Struthio camelus: one gene and its partners. The protein of the gene in region 1 interacts with the protein of each later gene in a pairwise test. Links are inferred from orthologs where the notes say so. Each region holds a gene or a part of one and is shown in the gene's direction. Other genes may lie near its edges.

Region 1 (8,018 bases):
CAGCAAGCACATGGAATTAGCAAAAAATTAGTGTTAATGTCAGTTTAGTTTTATGGAAGTATATTTATTCTTGATTTTTCTAAATAAATACTGCAGACACCAGTTATGAGAGCTGCAAATGTACAAAAGCAGAATGTATCTGAACAGCTCATTTCCTGTGTATTATCCTACTGTATATATGCATGTGACCAGGCACAACTTTACTACCTGGTCTGAGGGGTAAACATCAGCTGACCGCGTTACTTTTCTTGTGTAGACATGCAAGAGTGGCTATTTGGACTAAAATGTCCTTTAATACTTAGATTTTATATTATGTATCTTTAAGAATTATCTTACTCTAAATTCCTAAAATGTATGCTGTTTCTTGAAATCTGTCATTTTTGGTGATTGTTTCTTTTGTGGGGACATTTCCTAAGCTCTCACATAGAAGAAAAATGGTACAAAGAAGGCATGTTTCCACATATTCCAAACAATTTCCATTTGGTCAGTGCTGTTTAGACAAGTAACAATCGTAAACATTAGCTAGTACCGGCTGTTTCTGTTAAGCTAAGTAATTGAAAGGAGAAATGTTCTCAGGTAAGTGATTGCCAGATAAATCTTATAACTTTTGTTTTTTTCATAGCTAAACAAAGTATTACTTCATCATCCTAACGTATAAAATAAATTCTACATTTCTAGAATTCAGATTAAGGTAATTGGTTGTGGAGAAACATGCTGTTTGAGAAAAGTTGGTTTGTTTTCAGCACACAGAAAGCAGGAATGTTTCAGTGAGCACTGTTTATTGTTTGTCTTTCTTACCCAATTCCAAATGTAGGCAAGAGTCAGCCACAGATTTAGGTTCAGGTTCCAAACCCTGTTGGCCTGGAAGCATTCTGGTCAAGGATTTGGAACAGCATCATTCTTCTTCTTAACTTTTTGATTCTGTTTATGTTGATGCACCTGCTGATGAAGAATGGAAAGCAGAAATACAAATTAAGCTCTCGTCTACACAGTTCGCTTGCACAGTTCCCAGTCTCACCAATAGTCAATTGAAGTGGAGGTCTGCAAGTCAGTTACTGATGTGAGTTATTTGAAGGATGGAGACACGAGCTGTTTTGAGGCACTATGCTCCAAGCCTGTGCTGCAACCATTAAGAGCAATAATGATTCCCCTTTGCCTGCCTTCAAGAATGGAGGCACAATGGAAAAATGATGAATGCTATTAAGAAGCTTTTTTTTTCTTTTCTGGTGCCTACACCTTCCTAGCAAGTGCTATATCAAAGTATGTGTGAAAATATGAACAAAACTAGGAATTTTGCATGTTTTATAAGGTGAGCAGTGACAGGTTCACTGGCAGTGCAATTTAGAGACTTGCAGCATTACCTGAGTTCACTAATGCAGAAAGGTAGAGTACAACTTGTAAAGCAGGTATTCCTGAACTTGCTCACAGCTCATGCAATGAGTCAGAATAGTTGGATAGTCTTCAGGACAGGCCTCCATCATTATGGCTTTTGGGTTACATACATCCCACAATAAATTGTATTTGACTTAACTGCACTTTGCTGACAAAATTCATTTGCTGACTTCAGCACATAACTAGTCTGCAGTTGTGTGTATGAAGGGTCCGGCAGAGCAGCTCTGTGGCAGTGGCCATTTGGTGGTAGGAGAGCCAGGCAGCATTTGCTGGTGTCTAAGCATCTGCAAGGAAGCGGTCGCTTACAGTTTGTGCTTTTGCCCATCTCTTGTCTGGGATGTGTCCAGAGAAAACTCCAGATGACTGTAGCATCTTCTCAGGGTTGGCTGGGTATTGATGATACAGGAAGGATAGGGAGGCAAAGTCTGCAAACAACAGACTGCTTATCAGTGGATGGGCAGTAACTGCAGCTTGCGGTAGCTGACTGGGTTGACTGTTACTGAAGTTCACAGGCACTTACCCAGTGACACGTACGAGGAAGTAAAAGTTGGGACACAGTTACCTCATGCCATTTTATTGTGGGAGGTAAGAGTACTAGTGCATCAAGAGAATATGAAGGTTTGAAGGTAAATCCTAAAGCTGATAAGACATTATCAGCATGGTCCACACACTCACTTGGGTTGTGTACCCCAGATATCAAGTATGTTAACAGGGAAGTGTGTCTGTGACTAATGATAATCATGTAAGAGAAAACCTGAATTCCTAAGCTTGGGGTTTGCAGACCATCAGGCACTCAAATAAGCTACTTCTGAAACTGTCAACCGTGATCCCTCATTCTTGGTCCCAAACTAGAAAGTACTCTGGTAGCACTTTGTCCATTGTTTTTCTGTTCTGCTTTTTCTTCTTCTTCCGGTATTTTGATTCCAACTAGAGTTCAAAGTCTATATATATATATATATATATATATATATGTATGTATGTATGTATAAAATACACCTGCCTTTGATATGCGACTATCTCTTTTAACCTTCTACCTATGAGGCAAAGGATTTGTGAATTACAGGAAAGTTTGCCTGCTAAGATCTGGACAACCCTCTTGAGTTTCCCCCACATAAAACAATTTTTGGACATCATCAACAAGACATGTGGGAAGAATGAATGACCACAGTGATCAAATAAAAGGGAGATGCTTGTCAACCATAGCGTTCCTCTTCTTTCTGTTGTCCCATTCAAACTCATCTGGAAGAGAGAGTCAGATTTGATTTTCTGTGGAACAGCATAAAAATGCAAAGCTTTTGTGTTCCCATCAAACCACTGCATCTCTTCCTCCTGGGGCAGCAGAAACATTGAATGCATGGGTAAAACAGACAATTTTTTATTGTCATACTCATGAGAAAATGTTTCATGTCATGCCACCGTTCTGTCATTTGGACCTTTCCTTTCTCCATCGTTCTTTTACTGTTTCTCTCATGCTTGTCTCCATTTTTTTGTTTGATTGATTTTCTTTCTCTACTACATCTCTGAAATTCTAGCTCTGCATTGCACAGCTTTTTTCACTCTGTTCATTAACCTGATGGTAATGGACCAATTAATGTTAGCATTTTAGGGTCATCACAATCACAATGGGCTTTACAATGCCTATGTCAATGGGATTAGTAGGGAATAAGAAGTTGCATTAATTTCTTGGCGAATACGTCAACAAACAGAGATTCCCATATGAACCTCCATGACTCATGACCCATTATTGATCAAAAGCTTCATGTCAATGAACTGTTTGCTAAGTCTAATTTATATTTATCTGACTCGAAAAGCTTCAAGCTAATTAAAATCTGTAACATGATTGTGTTAAAAACAATATTTCAAAGAGGTTAGTGTCTGGTATTATTTGATTTTTCAGTTTTCAATAATTTGTTGTGTTTTAAAATCATAGAATAGCTCAGGTTGGAGGAGACCTTAGAAGATCATCTAATCTAGCCTTCCGCAGGGTCAGCCATGAGATCAGATCGGTCTTTATCCAGTCTGGTCATGAAAGCTTTCAAGGATGGAGACTGTTCGACTGTCCTCATGGTGAAAATCTTTTCCTTATACCCAGTAGGAACCTGTGGTTTCAAGTTATGTCCATTGGCTCTTATCCTTCCACCATGCAGTGCTGCGAAGAGCCTGGCTCTGCTTCCTTGGCAACCTCCTTACAGGTATTGGAAGGCTGCTTTTAGATCCCCTCAAAGCCATCTCTTCTCCAGGCCAAGTGCCATTCCCTTGGCCACCCCCAACCATCCTGCTGGTCCAGGAGCGCTGACCTCAGTCCAGTTGATCGACACCTTCCTTGTACTTGGGGCCCCAACACTGGATGCAGTCTTCTAGATGTGGTCTAATGAGTGCTGAGTGAAGGGGGGTGATCACTTCTCTCGATCAGTAGGTGCTCTGCTCCTGTTTGTACAGCCCAGGGTGCTGCTGGCCTTCTTTGCTGCCAGGGGATGCTGCTGGCTCATGTCCACTGCTGTCTACCAAGATCCCGGGTCCTTTTCAGCAGAGTTGCTCTCCAGGCAGTCAGTCCCCAGTGTGTATTGTTGCAAGGGGTTGTTCCTTTCCAGGTGCGGGAGTTTGCATTTGTACAGGTAAATGTGGAAGAATGTTGAGGAGATAGGCAATGGAAGCCAGCCAGACCGTTCCATGGGAAAAGGAGTTTCTTCAGGGCATGCTGACCCATAGTCAGGCAGCTGAGCCCATGCCAGTGTGGCGCTACACCTAGGCTTTGAATTGAGATTTGCGATGAGCTCACTATGCTTATTGTGCATGTATGTAGTCCATAAAAACTCATGTAGTGCCCCCCCGGGGTTCCTTGCCTTGGACCGACACTCGGCGGTGCCAAGGACTCTCCTGCTCCATTAATGCCTTGATCAGGAAATTGTTGGGGAACCTCTGCTTAGGTGTAGAGGTAATAAACACTCAGTATTGGCCATAGTGTTCTTGAGTTTGTGTATCTGTCCCTGCTGAGAGCCCAGGCATTGCCCCCACCTTAACAGCGTTTGTCCTTGTTGAATTTCATAAAGTTGTGTAACATTTCATTAAAATTCTCCACATTGTTCCAAAATAATTTATTTAAGGATTTATAATAGTAATTTTAAAAGGAATTTTAATGTATTTTTTACTAGTAATGTTAGTTAAAGATACATCAAATTAGTCTAGAAATGTTATCAACTTCCTCTCTCCCCAGAGGATATTGGGTCATCTTTACATGAAATGATCTGTAGCATTCCCAACAGCCATAGTTGTCCACATTACAAAATGTTCATGTTCATGAGGAACAAATAACAAGCAGAAATCAAAATCCAAAGAATCTTTTTAGTTAGGGCTTCAAATCTTTTTCAATTAGCATAAAATCCCCCCAAAAACACCTATTGGACTTCCCTTAGGGTCAAGCACATGCAGTGGTGCTCCTTTTCCTCTTTCTGTATCTAAGCATTACTCCTTCATTAAGCAAACATACCTCTTCAAATAAGATCCAGCCAAAACCACCATTTGCAGATCCACCTTGAGATTCCTCATTTGCCTTGCAGGTACCTTTTTTAAATGGGATTTTCAATGAAGAACATCAATTTAAACAAGAGGATGAATAACATCAACCTTAATGCAATAATACCTAATGTAAGTTACTTCCCTGATACGGAGTAAATGAGCCAGTAATATCCCATTGTGATGTGCAAAACTGGGTTTGGGAGAACAGTATGTAAGGTATCACCATTTATGCTACATAGCATCCAATTTTCAACCTAACTTGCTTGTTTTGTCACTTATCCATGGCATAAATTGCATATGGGCTAAAAAAAAAAAAAAACCTATATGGTCAGCATGCAGGTACCTAGGGCAGCCATACATGGCCACACCGTAAGAAGATTTTCTTTATCTCACTAAAAGTTATTTTCATATCTGTAAAATTTCAATTCTTTTTTTCTCAATTCATCTCAGAGTAAAATACAAGAGTAAGACAAAGATAAATAAACTAATCTAAGGACAACTGGAATTACTCTCTAGTCAAAAAACCATGCAAAAAAGCCCAATGAGACTACCGCTATAGAAAGTCAGTAAATTGTACTGTAGGCCAAAGCTAACATTTTACAATTTCATCTACAGTGAAAAGTACCTTAATACTATTAGTTCTAATGTTGTTAGGTTGCCAAAGGCATTACTAGTTTTGGCCTACAGTGCAGTTGACTAATTTGAAATTTTACTTCAAACTAAAATTTAAGTTGGTTAAACTTACCAGAAAACAACTAGCTTTCATAGAAAATAAACATTTTAGGAGCATTACTGTCTTTATTGTGGAATTTTTTTTTTCCATTATGATTTCTTATCTTCCAATTCTTCTAGTTACTCATGTTACAGTTTTTCTTTTTTTTTTTAGGCTTTGATTTAGAGATCAAAACCTGTAAATGGGCCACAGTAAAAGCACCTTGTGACCTCTAAAACAATCTGTTTTGTTCAGAAAAGTATGAAAACCTCAGCAAAGCAGTGACATTTGTGAAAATCATTGCTGATAAAACTATTACCAATGAGGCATGACAAGGATATTTATAAGACTAAATATTCATGTTCACATTGCAATATTAAGGTACTAATATCTTACTGTGTCATAATATATCAAAGATCATGAAATAACCTTACTTTGGACTGATGTGAGGTGAGTTTCGATTGATGTGAATTTCTACTACTGAAATAGAACTGTTTAGCAGATAGGTGACTGTGTATGATTATCATACCAGAATTTTTTAGGTAACCAAGTTATGTCTGGCTTGCGCAAATAGTGCCTGCAATGCTTGAGCCTTTTACTCTTGTTTGATTTATTTTAAGGAAGTACAGAGTACAAATGAAAAATAAAAATGGTATGTGCATACATTATAGAAGAGAGAGAGATTTAAACTATTTAAGAGGTGTGCTTTATAAATTTTCACACAATTGTGTGTCTAAAGCAATCTTTTTCCTAGAATATTTCTTGGGGTCATTTCTATTTATATTAAAGAAATCCCTGAAATACTTATATTTTATAGTATTTCCCAGAACAGTGACCTGCGTTTTCAGTACAGGTGGTTTTCTTGTTTAAAAATCACTCCATTTCTTGTTTTTACTCTATACAGATGACTCTGAAGATTTCAAATTAAGAAAAGTGCCAAAGCCCTTAGAAGAAGCCAAAAGATTAAAATTAGGGGACTGTAAAAATTATTTATTCTCATCAGGGACTGTGTGCCATGGTAACCTCACTGGATGACAAAAATATAGAGTCAGGTCTAATGATGCAATTATTTTCAAGAACCACTGTAAATTTTATTTTTGCAGAACAAGAAATGTTAGAACTACAAGACTTCAGTTATATTGTAAGCTAAATAGATTACTTTGCCTAAAATTATGCAAACTTTGCACATCTTTGCAGTATCAAACTACAAAAAGTTTATAGGACTGCGATCAAATTTTTGTCTTAATAGAGAAATGTTAACTAGAATCTATCAGCAGTAATATCTTACGTGATTGTTTTTATGAGTACAGCCTCAGACCTTTTGAACCATTTTTTCCTTTAGTCCAGGGAAGTCTTTTTCTTTTTCTTTTTTTTCTTTTTCTTTCTTCCTTTCTTTCTTCCTTCCTTCTCTTCCTTCTGTTCTTCCTTTCTTTCCCTTCCTTCCTTTCCTTCCATTTCTTCCTTCTTTCCTTTCTTTCCTTTTCTTCTCTTTCTTTTTTCTTTCCCTCTTTCTTTCTTTTTCTCTTTGTTTCTTTCTTTCTTATAGGCTCAGAATTACCATTAGGCTACTATCAGTAAATGTAATATTTTAGTTTTGGGGTTATTCTTTTTCTGGACCAGAAGTCTTATCAAAGCAAATTTTATACTGTTACTGATTACTGAATACTCATTATGATTTTTTCTAACTAACCAAAAGGATTCTGCTAAGATTTCATTACTTATAATAACGGAAGTTACTGTTGTTACTTGTAGTAACTGGAAGCTTCAAGCAAAATTGGGGTCTCTCAGTTAATGCTGGACAACATGAAGTGAGAAACAATCCCTATCCAAAAGGGCTTTCGGTCTAAGCCCTGGAATCGCGAGGCATTCTTGCATGTTATGTAATTAGATTCATTGCCTCTGAATTTTTCCCAGTCGCTCTGCCCTAAATCTTCAGAGGCATAAGATACAAAAGTTAAAATTAAGTCTCTACTGAGTGTATGCACGATGGGAAAGCACCAAAGTGTGAGAACATTTCTCAAATTAGTTGGCTTTTGTTGAGGATAGCAGAAAGTATGTCTCCTACATAAAGCCAACTATTTTGGCTACATTAAATTTGCTGCATCAACCATGAGGGCAATCGAGTTTCTGAAAAAAAAAAGTTAATGGAATGTTTTAATATTGCAAAACAACAGTCTTAGTCTTGGAAATGATTAAATGATTTTGGTTACAACTACTGAAGAAAATAGCCTGAGGCATCTATCTGACTTGGGAAATTCTGGTCCGGATATATGAAATTTGACAGGTTTAATAGCTACAGAAAAAGCAGTCTGGAAAAGACAAGTCTTTGGCAAACTTAATAGGTAGCACTACCTGTGCTTTCATATTACCTATGTTTCAATATTCATGATTTATTATT
Region 2 (7,614 bases), on another chromosome or scaffold:
AGTCTTCTATCTGGGAAGGGACTTCAAGACCTTGGCTTACCTTGCTTGGTTTCTGGTGTAGTTATGCCATGCATCCTTGTGGTGCATATGTATGTCATGCAAGCAAAAAGAAAAGTTTTGTTTGGTGGTGGTGTTTTTTTTGCTAATACAGTGTATGCTAGTTCCTTGAACAAAAAAAAAAAAACTGCAGAAGACTTTTTACTAGTATAGCTGTATTTGATTTGAATAAAAATCACATGTGGTAATCTATATGATTTTGCCAACAATGCTTTTCATTGTCAGCTGGGTCTCGCAGGCAGCTAGTAGTAGTATATTGCTACTAATCATGATGGCATGGCCAATACATTTATTTTGGTAGCAATGACTTTTTTTCCTCAATACCCTGTTGTATTTCCTAGGTGTTAGCTTGACATTATTTTTAATAACCTTTTTTTTGGAAACTACAGTTCTTAAGTTTCATCAGAAAAAACAAGTAACTTTCATAATTGAAACTGATATTCACAATTATTTGGCAAAGAGTAGATATCTATATCTGATAAGCACTCAGGAGTCCTTCCTTGTTATATGGTGCAAGTCCACTCTCTTCCTGACCTAAGAGGTTCCTAAACTGCTGATTGATTGAGGACTGTTAGAGTCTATCAAGAGAAGAAACCCGCTTAACGAGTATTACCTTATATTCTTTTCTTAAGCATCCATAAACAATTGTAAGATCAAAAACATATTTATTTATATTAATATATAATTTTGTATAATACATATACCGAGCCTTTTATATCATTACACTTTAAAAATATTCAAAAAAATCTTCACTCTTGTTATGTCTTTTTTTATTTTGTGTTCAGTTTTATTTGCATGTTAGATATGGAATACATAGTGAAATATGTATTTGTGATAAGAAATTTTTGCACAAGTTAGAAAAATACTTCCCCTATATTATAAGCCTGTGTATAATGTTTTTTTTCTCTCTCTATCCACTTCATAAGCTGGTATATCTTTTTAATAAAAGTATATAGAATTGGGAAAAGCATATAGAATTGGGAAATGTAACCCAAAATTTTATGTAGATCATGGGTACATTAAATCATCAGTACCTGTGTTATTTATGTTGGTGTAATTTTATGTAGGCAAAGGTAATAAGAGGAGAAAATGGTATAAAATCAACTTTTGCAAAATCTAGACATTCTCTAAAAGCTTGTTCCTCTACAAGTGTTAAATTAAAAATACTAAATCCCATTTCATGATGTTACAGGTCTAGAAACAAAGATATCATAGTGGTGGTGTGGGGGAGCTCAGTTCTTCCTCCAGTTGCCTACTTTGTAAGAAAGGGCCTTTTAAATTGGTTCTTTTTATAAACTAGTACCATATTGCTTCCGGCTTTAAAAATATTTTGTATCTTAAATTTGAGTTTGTAAGTACTCCACAGACTCAACTAGAGAACTTGTTGCTTTGCAACACCAGAAAGGTCTGTATCATATGTCATGGATAATAAAAACGGCATTCATTTCTGACCTCTGTTTTTTTCATAAACTGCCCAGCTTGGAATAAAATGCAGCAAGTGTAATTTTGAAACTTTACCTTGCTCATATTCCGTGGGGTGAGAGGAGTATTATAAAACGATGGATTTGGAATCTGAGAAGTTAGTTCCTGTAGTAGCTGGTAAATGAAGCAGATGGTATAAAACAAATACACGCTGTTCTGTGGCTATAGAAATAAGGTGTGTTTCCTAGTTATTGTACAGACGTATGTGATAATAAATATGATTTCACTTCACAAATTAAATTAACTTTTTTCTCCCGTTTCCCTTATTAGCCGTTACGTATGATGAGCACTTCACTGCTTCATAGACACCAAAAGCAGGGAGAATGGAACCAAGAGGAGGCAGAGAGATGAGGGAAAGAAATACTCAAAGTTCAAGCAGGAACGAGAAGGGGAACGATAGGGAGAACCAAGAGAAGAAAAAGTAGGGAAAAGAAGATTTGGAGGAGAAATACAACATCAAAATTGGAAGGAGAAAGAAGAAGACAGGAGAAAAGGGAGGAAGGAAGTAAGAATAATAGTGGATATCCTTACAGGATCCAACTTTTTTTTGAGTGATGCAAAATATAACTATTTACTAAACTATCAGTGATAGGATGTATTCTGTTTCTGATAGTTTTATGACAGCATAAGTTGGAGAGGAGGGTTCAAGAAGCATACATATTCTTCACTTTAGTTTATGGCACTGTCAGTAAAGTCTGTGTCCTATTCCTTAAGAAATGAAGAGGAAACACTTTGAAAAAAAAAAATTGAGGAGATTATTCTACATAATCCTAGCAGTAAAAAGGAAAGGAGTCTCTGTGTCTGGCTGCTTAGATGCAGCAGTGACTGCAGTCCTCTGATGTCCTAAGATTTGTGGGGACATTCCACGCATCTTGCAGCGTTCATGGACGCCAGACACTGAGTTTCTACACTGATGTCTTGGTGCTCAGGAGATTCTTGGCCCAGAGCAGTACTTAGTCTGTAATCATGTAAGTACCAAGCAGTATTAATTGCCTGGATGCCGCCTTCAAGAGTGGCTTATGGGATAGACTCATTCCCTGGACGAAGTGCGTTGTGAAAACCAATGTTGATGAAGTTGGTATTTGCTAACATGCAGGAATTTTGTGATGCCAGAAGTTGTCTGTCACTTCCCCCATAACTTTCTGTGCTCCTGGGTATGTTTGATTGGGATCGTCTGGTTTTGCTTTACTGTGGGCCTGAAATTTGAGCCTGGAAGCTGACTGCATGTAAGGTCTGGATGGCATCAAGCTGTACATGCATTACAGATCAGTTTGTTACTGGTGCAGTGGTTGAATATCAAACTCCCATTCAGTAGCCAAAAGAAAAGGGGGGGGAAAAAAACCCTCCATGATGGATCCAGAATTAAGCCTAAGATGTTAGCACTGGAACATAACAAGCAAAAAAGATAGTGGTGGATTTTCATGGTCGTGGTCTGCCAAAACGTATAGCTTTCTGAACCCGCTGTTGAACAAGAGAAGGAAAGCCACTCTTTTCTGCCCCTGGCTTGTGAGCGCATGGAACGTCCGACTCTGTGGCACAGAACTTCAGTTGCCAGTAACTGTAATAGACATTTCTTGCATTTCTGTTTGCGTCATATATATGGAAGAAGGAAAGGAGAAATGGCAGAATATAGATGGTGCTTTACCACTGGCTCAGAAAAAGCACCTGTGAGGCAGGAGATTGTGGTGTTTGCCAACTTGTGATTCAGGAAAGAAGTTAAATTCAAGAGGATGTTATGGTGCTCACGCTTGCAGGTGCAGCATACTGTGTGTCTGATGCATACACCCTTTCAGCTCTTTAAGAAGTAACAGTGACTGTTACAGATACCTGAATCAGTACCAGCTTTACATGACAGTTTATAAGAATTCTTTTCTGATATGTACAGCTTTAAATTTCTGACGTGCCAGATGCTATTGCTCTGAAAAAGTTGCTGTCTGTGGATGATGTTCTGTAGTCTTGTCTGCTTGCTGTACTTGTGGTTATATTCCTTTTAAACTTTTATTTCCTCTATGGAATTATTGGATAGCTTCTCTCTGTGGCTATATCAAAAAAATCTTTCTTCATCTCCTTTGTTAGAGGGTCAATAAGAGAGTGCCAGTCTTCCAGGAATTTTGTTTTTGTGAATTGTCTCTTTCTGTACATACTCTAGTTTGAAATATGTATTACTCTGACATCATATTTTGTATGTTTAATTTGTAGAAACATAGCATCATAGGAAACATGATTTGAATCAGTGCCATTACTGAAATAGAATCATAGTTAAGCAAAACTGCTTAGTCCTGTTGCTCCTAAATCATAAATGTTGGGGTTTCACCTTATTTTGCCAAGGAAAGCGCCTGCAGTCAGGCTGATTGTCTACATCTCCCTGCCAATCTCAGAGTAACCCTTTACCTTGTTGGCCCATTTATCCTGTAGACATCAGGTGCTTGTTAAATTTGGCTATTGAGTTTCTACAGCTTTGTTTTAAACAAAAACCAAAAACCCAACACCTGACTGAATAAAGGACAGCGAAGCCTTTTAGTTTCAGCAGAGAAGTCTGCTGTTGCATGTGTTGGACAGCTGCTGTTTGGCGGGAGCAAGGAGACTCATCACATCCCGCTGCCCTGAGCTGGAGGGTCGGGGGAGATGATGCTGGTGTTGCTGAAAGCAGCGAGGACCCTGCGCTGTCTTCCCCCCCCCCCCCCCTTACTGCAGCGGGGGTGCTGAGCGGGAGATCTTGCATAAAAACTGTACTTGCAGGCAGTAGCTTCAAGGCTTCTTGTCAGGTGAAGAAACCTCCCCAAAATGTTTGGGTCTCTTTTTGCCGTGTAGCTAGCTTTAGACATGGCTTAAAACCGAGAGAGAAAACAGTTTCTTCCTGCGCTGCTTTTGCTTTGCCGGTTGCTTTTCCCGACTGTGCAGCGGAGCCCCCTGGCGCGGGGGGAGAAGGCTGCCAAGCGCCGGGGCCGGCTGCCCTGCGCGGCCGGGCTCAGCCAGCGGGGCCCCGCCCACGCCCCGGTACCGCCGCTCCAGCGCCGGAGGCGGCCCCCAGGCCCCCTCCCCGGTTCGGCCGTGCCCCCTTCTCCGCCCCCGCCGCTGGGGATGTCGCTTCCCCCCGCACGGCGCCGGGCAGCCAGGCCCGGGCCGTGACTCAGCACCGGTGCTCTTGGGTGCGGCCTCGGCCTCGGGCGGCGCTGAGTGGCAGGCACGGGGGAGCCGCCGAGAGAGGGGACGGGAGCGGGAGCGGATTTATTTGAGAGGTAAGAGGGAGCGAAATGGAGAGGGAACAGAGGAGGGATTCAGCGCTCGAGTCGGGAGCTGAAGCCCCTTCCTTCCTTCCTTCCTTCCTTCCTTCCGGTATCGTGCAGCTGCTGCTGGGAAACTCACCGGCCGGGGGCTGAGGGGCTTGCTTTGGGGCTGAGGGCCGGGCCCCAGCACTCCTCAGGGCCCCGTGGTTTTGCTTTAGTTTTAAACCTTGAAGCTGGGCAGCACCCCAATCAATAACAAGTTAAAGGGAAAAAAAATAATAATTTGATAATCCTCAGTTCTCATTTTATGTGACTTTCCTTCCTGGAGGAATTGGATATTTTGCAAAACACAAATTGGAGACACTGATCCATCATTTTTTTGTGTGTTGACAGTCTGCCTGCTGATCTCCTGGTAGCTGTGTCTGTAAATAAATGAGTGAGCCCTGACAAACTTGGGGAGCAGGGAGGTCCTGCCCCTGCATTAGCACTGGGTGGTTAGCATTTGTCTTTTTTTACAAACTAGTTTTACTGGAAAAGGGAGTGTTTGCTGTTTTTCCTCCTCTGCTTTTAGGAGCCTTTCACCGCAATGTTTTAAAACCTGCCTGTGAAACGCATGAAGTCATAGACTGTTCCAGAAACCCAGTAACAGTAAGGTGAACACTGGATCAGGCTGTAAGTCCGCGGAACCTCCTCTCACAGTAGAGCTAGGAATCAGCAACAGTCCGGTCTGCTCTCAGTACAGGGGGGGAAGGAAGAGAGGTCATGGCTAGTAAACACAGCGCAGATTGGGTGGCCTTGAGGTTATTTGGAACTCAAGCAGGAAGGGTTTTGATGGAAAAGCTTTCCAAAGGTGACTGGAATGCACATTTTAAAACTATTTTAAAGATAGATGAAGGAATTGGTGCTGGATCTTCTTTCGGTTTGATTTCTGGTGAAATGAGTACTTACGCTTGACCTACGCACAGCTTTTCCCTGTTCCTCTAAAGCTATGATTTTTAAACTAGTTTAGTTGAAGTCATTGTCTCCAAACTCTGAATAGACACAAATGCAGTTTGAATCTGGTGTATATAGGCTTGTTAGACAGGAATCAACTTAAGCTAAATTATTCTGCTAAATTTAGTTGACTAAAGCATCTAGATAGGGTTTGAAACTAGTTTAGCTAAATTGATTTAAAGCCTGATTTAATGTGAAGTGATACGATTTCTCTGCGTAGATAGATGACTGAGATCTGAGCCTTTTTGATAGCAGCGTGTTTCTTCAGTGAATAAGGTGTCACAATACGCAGGATTTCATTTGAGGAGAGAAACAATGTGAGTTACGGAATTAGTAAGCTATGGGAGAGTAAGCTTGAATACAGGCAAAAACAATACGACCTTTTTTTCTTGCACAGTCTCTGACTTGTGACACAGGGCCAATACAGAATTCAGGATTCCTGGGTTCTGTCAAACCTGTTGTTGAAATATGAAATGGTGCTTGTATCCTTCACTGGGTTTCAGGAGTTGGGATAATATTTCTTATGTGCCCTTGAACACAAAACTGCCACAGTGTCTTCCTTGTGCTCCCCACATGCTATGATAACCTTTGTGGTTTATCTGCTGACCAGTCTTCCCACATGCTTCAAAGGCTTTGGATTCAGAGTTTCTGTCCATACCCCTACTTCTCTGGGTTTTTTTTTCTGCTGCTCCTTCATGCAGAGAGCTTTGCTACTTCCAGCTGCACTTAATGGAGGGTTAAGGACCTCCCTGACTCTTTGGGCAGAGAACTTCAGAAGCACTTTCTTACCAATCAAAACAAGTTTCCCTATGTAACCTCACTCCAGCAGAAAAGACCTGCCTAAGCTACCTGGAGGAAGTTGGTTTAGCAGAAGCGTGATTAGTTTCTGTTACGCTTCAATAACGTTGAGTTGCTTGTACAGAGTCCTTTTAGATTGATTTCTTATCACGTTTTATTAGACACTCTCATAAGGGAGGTCTTAGGCTTTTCTTGTGCGAAATGCAAGACGCAATCTGGTGGCAGGGTATGACTGTGAGTGGATGGTTATTTACAGTTTCAGCTTGGATATCAGACTTGAAACAGAGGAGCGCCTGCCTGCTGCAGCCAAAAATCAGCAGAGTCCTCAGACTGCAGATCAAGGAACATGTGTGATTTTACCACTGCCCCCTCTCCACTAAGAGCTATAATAGAGTTACTGCAGGGACTCTTTGCAGCCACAGACAATGTAGAGGAACAAAGCTGCAGTTGTGAGGCAGAAGGTAGTTGGGAACTCCTTCCTCTGAACATGAAAGTTGATGGAAGGATATAGAGGAATTTAGGTTGGAAGAAGGAACCTCTTGAGGTCATCTAACTCCGCTTTCTGCTCAAAGCAGGGCTAACTTCAAGGGTAGACTGGGTTGTTCAGAGCTTCTGCCAAATCTACTCTCTGATGCATTTGTTTGCTTGGAGAAGGAAGTACATTTCAAATGGATTCAAAAAGAAATTGCTCTTCTGCAGAGTATTCAGGGCTTCCAAATAGGTGTTGGATGAAATCCTTATTTCAAGGATTCTTGTACTGAAGACTACAGTGTTACAATGTTTGCTTTCTGCTTTCAGGCAGAGAGCATCCCCAGCAACATGGGGGATGATATCAGCTTGAAATTCCGTCAGCAGCTTCTACTCATTGAAGAAAACCTGGGTACCGAAGATGTAGCAGCTTTAAAATTTCTCTGCATTGACCTGATCCCCTTCAAAAAATTGGAAAGTGTGCAGTCAGCACTGGACATCTTTCAGTTTCTTATGGCTGAAGAGTATCTGAGTGAGGAGGATACTTTCCTACTAGCTGAGCTCTTATACAGAATTAAATGTCACTTCT
Region 3 (7,776 bases), on another chromosome or scaffold:
AATTGTATTTTTTCTTAACTGGCAACAGTCCTAGCAGAAACGAAGTTATACTAGCGAAAAGTGCTCGTGCTTGCGTAGCTTATTTCATGTGCTGAACTGGTATTGGTATCAGTTACAAGCTGGCACTAGCAGTTTCCTGCTGTGATAGGACCTCGGTGCTAGGCTGGTTTACTGTCATGCCAGCAAACTTCTTCTGCTGTAGCTAGGCCTTGGATTACAAAAATTGACAAAATATGAGCAATCAGAAATATTTCTCACCAGATATGCTCTCTGTTACTGTATGCCTTTCACCCAGTTTAGACAATTAAATGAGAGCTGTTAGTTTCACTTTTATTTATTGTTAAGTTCAGTTTCGAGTTTTTCTTCACTTGTAAAAAATACTGTTGAATTTAGACTTAAGTATACTAAGGTTACTAATGCTTTTGTCTTCATCTACAAAGCACTGCAATTCGTGAATTTAAAAAGGAAGAAAAAATTTCCATTTGATTAAAAAAAAGGTTCTACTGAATTCCTAAGATCATATATTTTAGACCTAGACCCGTTTAGACCCCGATTCCTGCAAAAAAAGTCATGCACTTTGCTTTAGACATGTGACTACTGCTCTTACGATCATTACGGCTACTCCTTCTGTTGGTGATGTTTAGCACATGTCTTTGCAGGAGCAGAGCACCTAATTACATGTCCCCATAATTAACGTTACGTAAGAGGATCAGCGAAAGACAAATGAGAATACTGCGAAGGAAAGTCTTAGCTGTATAATTTTGCCATTGTTGCAACAAATTTCTAATTCTGTCACTGTCGCCACTCAGTTTGTATTAGCCCCGCAGCGGGGAAGGAACTAATCCCTGGGATCATGAGTGAGAAACCAGAGGCTGAAATTAAAAATGGGGAAGTTTGCAAATGAGCACTGCGCAGTTTTCGGGGAAGGACGTGGGCACTTCTGACATGCGAGGCCCTGGCAGCGGTAATTTTCCGGGGGAGTAAAGGCCGCGAGCCGGCGCGCTGGTGGGAGGGCTCTGCTAATTCTGTTTTCCCTAGGCTAGTTTTGCTTTTGCTGTGACTCATCTCAGGACATGGAAAAACCCACAAGTTAAAACGGAAGTAAAATCGGCGCAGGTAAACGCTCTCCGTGCCGCCGGGGTCGGCGCCCGGGAACCGAGCTGGCTTTTGGGCGGACTTCAGGCGCTTTGGTGCCGCCGCGGCCGCGCAGGGGCCGGAGCCGGGGCCGGGGCCTGCGGCGCGGCCGCCGGGCGCGGGGGAGGCCCGGGCGCCGCGGGCAGCGGCGGCGGCGGCGGCGGCAGCGGCAGCGCCCGGCGCCGCCCCGGGGCCGTCCCGCCGCGCGCCCCCGAGCCGCCCGGCCTGCGTGGCAGCCGCGAGCGCGCGTGCCCGCGCGCGCCGCCGCCCCCTCCCCCAGCGCGGCCGGGCCGGGTGAGTGGGGGGGCGGCGGGGCCGCGCGGCGGGCTGGGCGCGGGGCCGGGCCGGGCCGGGCCGGCGCGGGCGCGCGGGAGGCGGGAGCGCGCGGCGAAGTTGTGTCCGGGACGCGGCGCCGCTCGCTCGGTGCGGGGCTGTGGGGCCGCCGCCGGCTCGGGCGTCCGCGCTGCCCGCCCCGAGGGGCCGCGCCCGCACGGCCACGGGCGCTCCGCAGGTAAGGGGCCGCCCGCGCCGCAGCACAGCCCGCCTCGGCGGGAGGGCCGCGGGCCGGGCCGGGCCGGGCCGCCGGGCCGGGGGTGTGCCCGCCGCGGCTGCCGGCCGGGAGCTGCCCGCCGGCGCGGGGAGGCGGCAGCCGCGGCCGGGCCGCCCGGGCGGGCCGGGGCGCCGCGCGGGCGGGCGCGCGCAGCGCACCTGGCTGCCGCCGGCCCGGCCCGGCCCGGCCCGGCCCGGCCCGGCCCGGCCCGGCCCGGCGCGGGCGGGCGGGCGGGCGGGCGCTGCCCGGCCCGGCGGCGGGAGGCGGAAGGCGAGGCGAGGCGCGCGGGTCCCGGCCCGAGCCGCAGCGCGCCGCCCCGGGGGCTCCGGGCCCCGCGGCGCCTCGTGGCCGCTCCTCTGCGCGGGGTGCCGGCGCGCTCGCTCGCTCTGCGGCTAGCTAGCACGTGCCTGGGCAAAAGTGAGAAATAAACGGAGATGTCGTCAAAACTAGGACAAATTTGGATCTTACTCGGTTGCTTTCCAGAGAGGTGTTGTTATATAGCGTTGTTTTAAGATTTTAGCAAAGTTAAAATACTGTAAAATAGGAATACTTGCATAGTTTTGTGTGGTGTATGTGTGATGACACTTTTTTCTTTTTCCTTCTTTTTTTCTAACCTTAGAAACAGTAGTGCTGCCAAACACTCATGCCTTAGCTTAGTGGTTCCCATACAAGTTCCGTTTGCATGCCACTCTAAGTGACACTGCCATATGAAAAAGGCCCATTATGTCCTTTTTATACGTTTTTTTTTTCCTTATCTTTTCTATGAGATTCTTTGTGCTCTTGTGTTCTTGCAGCTCATGAAAAGAACTTTACAATTCTTTGGGAGTCCCTAGACTGCAATTTGAGAACTTTTCTTTAGGTGCTTCGTATTTTTCATCTCTTTTGTCTGCCAGCTCCTGATGTCCTCCTGAGCACTTTACGGGAGAGGAGCATACATATTCTCAGAACGCTTTATTTTTTGTTATCTTTAAAAAATAGGAAGTCTGAAATAAAACCAGTGCTTCAGGGATTACAGCATTGCCTTCTAGAGAGAGTATATGCTGTTTGAGTTGAACTGCAAAATACCATTTTCTTCAACATGTTATTCACTCCAGAGTGCGATAGATACTTGTTGAGAATAATGGTGGACTTTGGAGCTCCATCTGTTTGTCTGTTCACACACGCAAAATATTTCTGCCAATGATAATTGCCTATGGCATCATTGCGCTACAAGTAATTTGATGGGAAATATTGTAACAATTAGAAGTCCAGTGATGCAAGTTCCTGACACATTGTGAATGACTTGCTGTCATTTCTATGTCTCCTTTAAAAATTCATTATTGTGAATCATTGTAAGCAACTGTTTAACTTGCGGCATTTATACTGTTTTCATGTTTTGATACATCTCTTGACATTGAGTCAAAACTCTTTCCGCTGTTACTTTTTTCCTGTCGACATTCTCTGTGACAGTCATATTCTTTTAAGCAGCAACAGAAAAAAGGAGGAAAAAAAAAAAAAAAGAGGAACTTGTCTGAGATGTGAACGTTGCTGCCCCGTTTCCTATGGCTTTATGACTTAGACGCATAAAAATGGGGGTTGGGAGGAGAGGAACTTCTGTTATGGTGGAAAAGGAGCGAGCGTCTTCTGTGGGAAGCGAGATTTCTAGACTGGATGTGAGTGACGGTTACCACCCCAAGAGGAACTTGTCAGAACAGAATGAACATTTTCCGCGCGTACAAAGCACTTTTGTTTATTTTGTTTCCCTGCTGCCTCTGGAATTCTGTTTCTTGACAAATGTGTGCTTTATGAGAGAGGAGGGGCACATAATTTGAATATGAGTTTTAATATATATCTTTAAATTACTTAGTATGTATTTTGTTAAGAGAAAAACAGGTGAAATTGAGTAAGTCACACTTTAAACCCATGCTGGGAACCGGACATATTTTGTAATACCTGCCTCTTATGATCCTGCCCAAAAGTTTTAATGTCAATATGTAATACTTATGCGTATATTGATATTATTGAGCCTGTATTGACTCTTTTCTTTGCTCCTAGTAATGGAGGCTGTGCCACAGAAAATAGTGGGAAACCCGGAGATTTATCTCACAGCATGTTTTCTGGCTTTATTCAGACCTAGCTGTTTGTCTGAAGGTCCCTTTAAATGGCTTTGAAAAGTTTTTTTTTGCGTGCTGAATGATCTGTTAATAATTATTTGTTCAATGAGCAATTTTTTGAAGTGGGGATAGGAGCAGACATAGCTGACTTTATGCATTTTCTGCCTTCTTAGCTGTAAAATCGGGATAGTTATTAACAAATTGACCTCCACCTCTGAAGGTGTGTACGCTCTCTGTAGAGGTGTAGGAGATGAGTTGGTGGATATATTTCACGTTTCCTCCTACTTTCTGTGCTGTCAGATATGTTTAAGCTCCAAGTTATGGAACATACATACTTAAAAAACAACATGGCAATACAGACTAGACAGTATGAACTGCAGCAGTCAGCAAGTGGGGCAGGCAGTAAAAATTAATGTATTCATTCCAAATTTAAGGCAAGAAAATTGTTGTTGGAAGAGAAGGAGAAGTACTAGATAAAGATGCCAAAACCTGAATGATAGAGCTGGGCATAATTATAACATCTGGGGCTTGATTTTTTGCTTTTTTCCTAAGTGAAAGCCCGGTTGGGATACCCACTGTTACAGAAAACAGGTTTAATAGCTGGACTTGGGTTTTTAACTTCTGTCCTTCTAATTCACTTTTCTTAGATGCTCTTGCTATGGAAGAGAACATTCATAGCAAAGAAAGCCGTAACAATTGCCTTTATCTTTGGCTAATGAGCAAAATAAATAAATGGAACCTCATTTTAGAAGTTTTTTAGTATTCTTTTCTTTTACTATTCTGATATTTAGTATTATTAAAATTCAACACTTATCTAGGTGAAAAGCAGCCATGATGCTATTAGAGTTTTGAGCACAGAATTAAGATTAAGGGAGTCATGAATATGTATTCTTGCTCTGACACAAACTCCTGCATTTGTCTTGGAAAATGACCAAACGTGTCTATTTTACCTTTTATGTGAACACTGGTGACTGCTTCAGCATGCACCTATCCGGACACTCTGCTGGGCTGTTTGCAGGAAATTGTGCGGTACGTGTCTTTGTATCCTGGTCAAAGGCAAGAAGTCTGTGACAAGCAGTGACCGTTATTATGCGATGCCGTTCATACTGTTGCAGCGTGCTGAACGAGAGGTGTGAGAGATGGATGCTGACTGTAAGAAACTGGTTTCAAACGTAGTATGTGGAGACGTTTGATTTGAAAAATACTCGTCACTAACAGCTTTCAACTTGTTTCTGCTTGTGAAAACCCTTTCAGTCACTTTTGATAGTGAGTAGCTTCAGCATAATGTTTAGGATCTTAAAGGACAGAGTTCATGAAAAATGTTCCGGTGTATAATATGATTCAGTTACAGTTAGAGGTGTCTGTGGAACAGACTTATTTAGAGATAGTAGCAAGATATACGTGTATATATATGTAAAATATATGTAAAGAAATAGATCTATATATCTATATATTTTTGAGGAGCAAGTCAGAGGGATTCTCTCCATTGCTATCTAAACATGATAGCGTATGTAGAGTTTGTCTGAAAGAGGTTACGTTATGTATCTACTTGCCAGACTAAGAGAGTTCTTTAGATTCAATCAGCTGTTTGTTTGGTGTCCTAATGTTTGGAGAAAAGTACTCTGGGAATGATCTAGGAATCTGACTTCTACTGTATTTAAATTGCCTTTTCTTTCTGCTTCTGTGTGCACCAAAAACATTCTTGCAGTATTGAAAGCAAACTTGCTTTCTCAAAAATAATTCATGTTTACATTGATACTGTTTATCACCAAAGGCCCTAGAAACATGACTTTCGACATGGAAATGGTGAGCTACTCTGCTATTGGTTAAAAGACAGGCATGGCGGTAGAGGAAAATAAAAATGTTTTCAGTACAGCTGTGCATCACTAAGCTGAACACTTGAAAAAGAAGTGACCTTTTCCAATATAAAATCATATGAAAGTTACTTTTGTCCATTTTAGATAACCTTTAAAACTTCGGCCTTTTAAAGACTGAGGCCTTCAAAACAGTTTCTTCTGTTATTAAGTCTCATTAACTCTAATATGTTTATAACAGTCAGCCCTTCTCTTGCAAAGTTTATAGTACGAGCACACGCAAGTACTTATCAAGTTCTTTGTGCTTTTCATCACTAGATCTCTAAGTGCCTTAAAAGATAAGAATAGATTATCTGCAAACTGAGGATAACAGAGTTAGGAAGGTTTGATATGTCTCAACATCCCGCCGAGTGACTGGATGGCTGAGCTGATACAACAGCTTGATGCTACCAAAAGGGACAGTTTCTCTTACTTTCTCTGTTTCCCCTGGGCCAGTGCTGGCACTCATCTGACTTTCAGTGAGCTGCTTCAGCAGAGTAAACTGGCATAAAACTATGGAAGAAAAAATGTCTTGGTTAAGCGAGGGAGTTGAACCGGTTTACCTTCTGTACTGCTGAAAGAGCGATTGCTGTTTTCCCTAGCTATGCCTCCTCCTTTCCCCAGAGAGGAATTGGTCCACAAAGGGAGCAAAGGACGGACGCAAAGGAGGGATGAGGAGGTGCACCTGGAGAGCTAGGCTAGGTCCTGTCAGTGGCCACAGTTTGGTAGATCAGCTCAGCTCAGCACGAGGCTCAGCACGAACATGCTCAGGCCCCAGTGTTGAGAAGAGGCGCTTGATCTGGTTTCCTGATTCAGTAATCTGGCCTGTGTACGCTGCTGGGTGCAGATTTTAGAATACCTTTTCAGAATTCCTGGGACAGTAGTTGTACGGTCTCTAGATGGGAGAGCAAATTAAAAATGGTGAAGTAGAAGTCCAGTAAGTTATATAGGTACGTGGTGCAACGTTTGCCTTTTAAAGGTCACCGTCTTTAAGGGCATCCAGGCTGCAGAAAGCAGACTGCTGATGCCACTTTTTTCAATACTATAGATACTTAACTTATCTTCTAGTAGAGCTATGCTAAGATGTTTACAAGTATCTTGGATTTTGATTCTTGAGCAGTGAGACATAGAGATGATGCATGAAGAAATAACAGTACATTGGATATCAGCATGGATTTGCTACTATAAATTGCAGCAGCCTCTGAAATAGGCTCCCGAAAGGAAGTGGTAGGATCCCCACTAGTGTTGAGTTTGGGCCAGACAAAGCAGCAGAGGATGCTCTTCAGGGAGCGCTAGTCTGCTGGCAGAGGAGCACGCTGAGTGTGATGTAGTAGATCTCTTCCATTTCTGGATTCCATGGTTGACTTTTGATTTGCACCTGAAGTTAAAAGGAGAAAAAAGTGTTGAAACAGAGAGGTAATGTTGGACTTGATTAATTTTTTTTTTTTTTAAGAACTTGTGTGCAAAATCTAGTTTAAAAGTATAACTTTTTTCATCATATTGAGATTGCTGCAGTATGTCTAAATTGCATAGAAAATTAAGTCCTCCAAAATACTTGTTTGAAACTTTCTTAAAGGGTTTTTGATTTTATTTAAAGCTAGATTGGAAGCTGCTGTCTTTCATCAGCTGGAACGTGGGACATGGGAACAGAGGTTCTGTGTGAGCTGTGATTAAATGGCCAGGTCTAGAACTTGTAAGCTCAGCTCTATTTAACAGGAGAAAACCATGTTTGTTTGTTTGTTTGTTTTTTAATAGTGGTTCAAATGCAGCAGTCCGTAAACCTATCAAATCTTTATATGGATAGGTAGGTCTTTTTCTATCTTGGATTATTTTTATACACACATTGGATTGGATCGGATCGAGAATACTTCAAATTCTAACCTGTGCTAAGTATTTAAACATCTGCGCTTGCTCCAGTTGCCGTAGTTCTGCATGTGTGAGAAGCCTTTTGAGTTGTATTCTTTTTAATACGTTTAAAAATGTTTCAGAAACAAACTACTTCTATTTTTTTAATTAAAAAAAGATGTTCTGTATCATTTAGCTTCTAGTGTTTAATCATATGATTTAATTTATTGCATGGCATGATGCAGTAAATTAGACTTTTTTTATTTTTTTAAATTGTATTGACACTGAAAACTGTGCGCAA

Evidence for each region.
Region 2: the proteins of XIAP (region 1) and CASP10 interact in binary tests that used the Homo sapiens proteins (3 or more experiments, as listed by UniProt). The two-hybrid records come from large-scale screens. The link is inferred for Struthio camelus from reciprocal best matches to the Homo sapiens genes XIAP and CASP10.
Region 3: the proteins of XIAP (region 1) and NEK6 interact in binary tests that used the Homo sapiens proteins (3 or more experiments, as listed by UniProt). The two-hybrid records come from large-scale screens. The link is inferred for Struthio camelus from reciprocal best matches to the Homo sapiens genes XIAP and NEK6.

Annotation. Positions count from the first base shown.
Region 1 is NC_090952.1:11,059,544-11,067,561, reverse strand, and holds the start of XIAP (E3 ubiquitin-protein ligase XIAP), read left to right. Parts: upstream 1-4,986; 5' UTR 4,987-5,001; coding exon 5,002-5,037; intron 5,038-8,018.
Region 2 is NC_090947.1:10,378,825-10,386,438, reverse strand, and holds the start of CASP10 (caspase-10), read left to right. Parts: upstream 1-4,527; 5' UTR 4,528-4,778; intron 4,779-5,335; exon of another isoform or gene 5,336-5,438; intron 5,439-7,355; 5' UTR 7,356-7,376; coding exon 7,377-7,614. UniProt on the Homo sapiens protein: Involved in the activation cascade of caspases responsible for apoptosis execution. Recruited to both Fas- and TNFR-1 receptors in a FADD dependent manner. May participate in the granzyme B apoptotic pathways.
Region 3 is NC_090961.1:1,652,609-1,660,384, reverse strand, and holds the start of NEK6 (serine/threonine-protein kinase Nek6), read left to right. Parts: upstream 1-4,689; 5' UTR 4,690-4,704; coding exon 4,705-4,806; intron 4,807-7,776. UniProt on the Homo sapiens protein: Protein kinase which plays an important role in mitotic cell cycle progression. Required for chromosome segregation at metaphase-anaphase transition, robust mitotic spindle formation and cytokinesis.